Daphnia pulex: one gene and its partner. The main gene of each other region encodes a partner of the protein of the gene in region 2 in a complex. Links are inferred from orthologs where the notes say so. Each region holds a gene or a part of one and is shown on either strand. Other genes may lie near its edges.

Region 1 (2,466 bases), on a different chromosome or scaffold from region 2:
TGAATACCACTGTGAAAGATAAGATGTTTGTATGTATATTTTAATATAAAATCTGCTTGTTTGGTTACCATCTCTAATATCTGACCTTGTAGGATGGGAGAAATTGCTATAGAATTGTACTGGAACCATGCCCCCAACACTTGTAGAAACTTTGCTGAACTCTGTCGTCGAAATTACTATGCAGGCACTAAATTTCATCGGATAATCCGAGATTTTATGATCCAAGGTAATTAATTGAAAACTTTTTTTTCATTGATTATGAATTAAGTTAAAAAATTTATAGGTGGTGATCCCACTGGTACTGGAAGAGGAGGAGCATCTATATATGGACGTAATTTTTCTGATGAATTACATGATGAACTGAAACACACAGGTAATAATTACAAATAAAATAAGTAATGGAAACAACATTCAGGGGCCTGAATGACACACATTCAAAGGAAATGACTTTTAACTTTGTGTGTGTTTAACAATAGGCCCTGGTATACTGTCCATGGCGAATTCAGGACCAAATACCAATGGATCTCAATTTTTCATAACACTAGGTATTTAAAAAAAAAAATTAATAAACTTTGAATTCCTACATCAAATGCAAATTTATTTTATATTTATTTTAGCTCCAACCCAATGGCTAGATGGCAAGCATTCCATTTTTGGGAGAATTTATTCAGGCATGTCTGTTGTGAAAAGGATTGGGTTTGTAGAAACAGATAAAGATGACAGACCAACTGATGATGTGAAAATCGTAAAATGTACAATCAAATATGAATGAATAATACATAATTGATCCTGCTTCTAAATCTAGTTTTACACAAAAAATATTAGTACTATGTAGCAATTTCTTTTGTCGAAATTCGGTTAATTATAGCATCCAATAAAGAAACAATTTTTGTTTCTTCTTCTTTGATTTTATAAATTTTCCTCAGCTCATTTTCATCACATGTTTCAAAATTGTCTTGGGTGGGTTCTGCCAATTCTCCTTTGACTTTAGAACAGACAAGTTCCATATCTTCTTCATTAAGTACCACACAAAGAAAATATGTATCTTTATCATTCATTCCAAATATTTTTAAGGAATCTGTAATCTGTTCCAAGCATTAAAAATAATTTCCATATTTAATAAAGTTTGCATGCTGTACAACTGCACATTAAAAAAATACCTTTTTTGTTGGGGACATGTTATAAACAATTTCAGAAAACACAGAATGTGTTTTAAGGGTATGACTTTGATGGCTCATCACAGCAAGTTGGGTGGCCACTAATACTTGAAAGGTGTCCAATACCTAGCAGTCATAAATTTATATTCTTCGTCAAACATAAAATTGAAAATTGAAATGCATACATATCTAGGATTAATTGCAGCGCAAGGAAAGCTAGCTTTCATAATCCTTTCTCGAATTTCACTTGCATTGGTTACATTTTTAAAAAGTAACAACTTGGGCTCGCATTCTTTAAATGCCCACATTTTATTATTGTTTGCTCAAATATGACTAAATAACGACTAAATATGGGAGTCACGAATCGGTAAATTTTTTTATTTCAAAACGTGTTCTGACTGCTGCTGGTTCCCACAGTTTATAGTCTGTCTGCTTCAACCGGCTGTATGTAACCTGGCTGTAACACTGCAAGACGTTGTCATGGCAATTATTTGCAGACTAAAATGCGACTTCAAATCTTCATTTCAGTAGACACTACATCGACTACAGTAAACACTAAACAACAAATTTAAGAACCTGTACGTTTGATGGTGGTCCTTTCTTATTTATTTATTGAAAAGTGATTTGAAAAATTCTTGATACAATTTTCTTTTTTGGTTTAGGTATAAATATTTCCACCTTTTTTAAAAATGAAGGGCTCCAATAACAGCTCTCTAGATAGGCAAGGTAAATGTCAAAATTAATTTACTCTTGATTTACTTATGATTCAAACTAATGAAAATAACTGTTTAGATAGGCATTCTCATCCAATTGGAGCTGCATTAACCTTCATTGTGATACTTTTGGGTCTTGGAGTACCAGTATGGTGGAATACCACTACTGTACAAAGAGCATCTTTACCACTGGAAGAACTGTCCACTATGGCTAAAGTGTCTGGGAGTGAACAAAGTATCCCTATTTTATTAAAAGGCATCAATGATGCTGAAATAATGGCAAAGAAACTGCAAAGTGCACTAGTTCAGTCCAAGGACCCATGTAAGTAACTAAAACAATATAATAAATGTTTAGATTTGAAGATTATGTTAACAATTTTCAAAATTTTTTTAGTAACTTATAACTTCAGTATTGTTCCATATAAATTCAGCCCTGAAGAAGTAAAAATTTTGTTGTCACAAAAGTCAGTTGATGCCATAGACATGTACTTTGAGGAACTATCTGAATCAGAGTTTATTAACATATTATCAATTGTTGAAGTACCATCTAATTATTTGCCATCTGGGAAAGTGTGTGTAGGAAGGCATAACTTTCT
Region 2 (3,083 bases):
GAAAGCCTATCTCAAAAGTAAAAGAGGAATAAAAAGCAAGGAAAAAAGTATACTAACAAAATAAAAAGCAAATTTGAGTTGCGATCCCCTTGATTTTGGATGTTGAACGCCAAACCTCAAAATGACGCCACAATTTCCTCCAACATGAAATCAGCGAAAAGGATGTGGTTGTAGGCCTAACTGCCGTCGTGTAAACATAACCTTGATCAGTTGATCGCCTTTTCATTCAGCGTCGAATACTCGTGGAGAGTCAACGGCGTATGTTTTTGTTGACTTTTCTTTTCTGTCCTCTTACCTGATTGAATACCATACCCGTAATTTCAACAAATATTTTAGATGTAGCTAATATAACAAAGTGGGCCTGAATGACTTGGAAAGAAAACATTTGGGCACAAATTTGGTCGGCATTCAGTCCTGAACGTTAAGGCCTGAATGTCGGACACCCTGATGGCCAATGTTCTGGTAGAGGTGGGGGATATAGTAGGGTGGTGTCATGTCGACATGCCGAGCATACCATAAACTTTGATTAACGCAGCTAGTTTGTTTAGGCATTTTTAAAGTTATTATTGTTTTATTATTCATCTCCAGTTTACCTCCACTTCATCTATTCTATATCGTTGCGTGCAAAATGGGCATAACTTTGTCTTTGATTAACGCAGCTAGTTTATTTAGCCATTTTAAAAGTTATTATTGTTCATCTCTCCAATTTACCTCCACTTCATCTGTTCTATATCGTTGCGTGCAAAATGTGTTCTTCCAAGAGGTGACGGCACCAACTCTAAACATTTCTGCTCCGGCATGAGCTATCATGGCCCCGTTGTCTATACAAAATCTTTCATCCGTTGCAAAAACCTTAAAAGAAAACAGAAAAGCCATGAACAAAATTTGTTGTGATAAAATTACACAATGATTCAACAAACCTTAGCTCCTCGTTCCTTGCACATTTCAGACATCATTTCTTGAAGTCGAAGATTACCTAAAAACAAATCCTTAGATGACAAGAATAATATAAAGAAAATGAAACCTACATCCAACGCCACCGCAAATCAACACTTCTTGCGATCCACAATGCGCCATTGCTCTCTCGGTTGTTTCAACAAGCTATAAATGTACATAAAAAAGAAACGGAAGTATTCAATTGGAAATTAAATGTAATTTTAGTTGCAATGATTTTGGCATGTGTACCATAGCAAAAACAGTTTCTTGCAGTGAAAAACATAGATCTTCCACAGAATATTCTTGTAAAGTTGCAGCAAAATCTTCAATGTGTGTCAAGACTCCAGAAAAAGACATGTCCATCCCTTTGACAATGTATGGCAATGGGACATAAATTTTCCCATTTTTTGCCAACTGCTCAATATTGTGCCCAGGGCTTGGATAATTTGACAATTTAAGAATTCTGGCAAATCTATCCAAGCAATTCCCAACTGCAATGTCTATTGTTTCCCCAAATATTCTATAACGTTTCTGGGAGTATGCAATAATTTGAGTATTCCCTCCACTAACATAGAGAACAATAGGATTTTTTGCGCTTGTGATTAATCTTGCCATTTCTATGTCTGCAATAAATGGAATGATATTTGAGTCCAACTAAAATTAGCAATATAAAATTTAAGAATTAAGTACGCCCGATGCAATGATTGACACCAATAATTGGCTTTCTCCATAATTGTGAAATTGTTCTTGCAAACACAGCTACAGACACCAAAGGAGCTCCTAAGCCAGGTCCTTTGGTGTAACACACCACATCAATTTCTTCTGGATGAATCTGAATTATAAATGATTTATTTTTTTGGAAGTGAAATACGAGTTTCTCACAGTCTAATTAAAATGTATCAAACCTTAGCTTCATCCAAAGCTTCTTTCAGTAAGAGGACAATATTTGACTGATGATGAATTGCAGTATCAACAGGTTTAAAACCTATAATAAATGTCATAAGTTAAAAAAAAACAATACGCATTATTTTTCGTGTTTAGAACTTTTGATGTAATGAAACCTTCTCCAGGTGGTGTAATAAATGTTCTCCTGGGATTTGCTAAAACAATTCCATCTTGAATTATTCCAATACCCAATTTATTTGCACTACCTTCAAAACCTATCGAAACAACCATATTTCAATGAATATTTATAATATGGAACCTCAGACTAGTGCAACTTTAAAAAAATGACTACAATCGTCGCAAGAGCGTGTCAGATCATCAGAACAGAAGCTGATGTATAGTTATTAGTTAGAGTAGTCCATGTGTAGAGAGTCAGAGAGTACAGACAGAGTCAGAGCAGTCAGCAGACGACAGCGCTCCAAGGGCGTCCCTAAACTGCGAAAGCGAAACGCGAAACGCGAAACGCCTAAAATGCGAAACAGCTGTGCGAAACGGACCCAAAAGTTGGGACCCTGTTTCGCATTTTAGTCTTTGGGTCCGTACTAAACTGCGAAATCGGTGTTTGCGAAACGTCGCAGTGCAAACGTCTTGGTAGCAGACGACAATGGACGCCGTCAACAAAAAAATTGTTAAGAGTTTCAAATTTTCGAGACTTCGAGTTTCGCGCACCTTATGGCTGGTCTATTTGTGTGTTGACTATGAATACGGAATACCTTGAATGCAATATGCAATAGGTGTTTTTAATTAGAAGATTGGTATAAAAAAATTTATGGAACTTCTCGTTTCCATGTATCAGTATCAATCAGATTAACATTCTTAATTTTAAGGGAAGTTTTAGTTGATTAAATTTTAGCTTGATTTGGAACATGGTAGCTTTGATTTTTAGCTTGATATAAGGCACTCATACTGTTATGACCGATTATTTCTTTGTGCACGTATCTACTGGTTGATTAAAATTATTTAATGTAATGTATAATCCCTGGGCCATTACCTAATATTTTATTATTTAAAAATATCACCATATCGTGCTGCTCTATGTCTTTCATTAGTTTAATAATCGTAAAATGCGCATTAAAACATACAGGGGTAGTGGCGAAGAAATCGAATTTGATTGCCCCCCTTCCTCCTTTAATGCCTCATCATAGCGGGAGACAATGAAAAATGGCGGCAATCTCCGTCAATTTGGACCTCTGTGGGGAAAA

Evidence for each region. Proteins that work in one complex are often made in the same cells at the same time.
Region 1: probable tRNA N6-adenosine threonylcarbamoyltransferase (region 2) and EKC/KEOPS complex subunit Tprkb-like share a complex: the UniProt entries of both Homo sapiens proteins name them as parts of the EKC/KEOPS complex. The link is inferred for Daphnia pulex from reciprocal best matches to the Homo sapiens genes OSGEP and TPRKB.

Annotation. Positions count from the first base shown.
Region 1 is NC_060026.1:5,617,148-5,619,613, reverse strand, and holds EKC/KEOPS complex subunit Tprkb-like, read right to left. Parts: upstream 1,603-2,466; 5' UTR 1,466-1,602; coding exon 1,343-1,465; intron 1,284-1,342; coding exon 1,161-1,283; intron 1,086-1,160; coding exon 828-1,085; 3' UTR 773-827; coding exon of another isoform or gene 618-772; 3' UTR 581-617; downstream 1-580. Other genes in the region: peptidyl-prolyl cis-trans isomerase-like 1, read left to right, coding at 93-226, 284-373, 477-545, 618-772; GPI transamidase component PIG-S-like, read left to right, coding at 1,847-1,883, 1,950-2,192, 2,265-2,466. UniProt on the Homo sapiens protein: Component of the EKC/KEOPS complex that is required for the formation of a threonylcarbamoyl group on adenosine at position 37 (t(6)A37) in tRNAs that read codons beginning with adenine.
Region 2 is NC_060019.1:5,074,031-5,077,113, reverse strand, and holds probable tRNA N6-adenosine threonylcarbamoyltransferase, read right to left. Parts: upstream 2,297-3,083; 5' UTR 2,113-2,296; coding exon 1,998-2,112; intron 1,922-1,997; coding exon 1,842-1,921; intron 1,769-1,841; coding exon 1,627-1,768; intron 1,560-1,626; coding exon 1,186-1,559; intron 1,102-1,185; coding exon 1,029-1,101; intron 977-1,028; coding exon 921-976; intron 853-920; coding exon 688-852; 3' UTR 646-687; downstream 1-645. UniProt on the Homo sapiens protein: Component of the EKC/KEOPS complex that is required for the formation of a threonylcarbamoyl group on adenosine at position 37 (t(6)A37) in tRNAs that read codons beginning with adenine.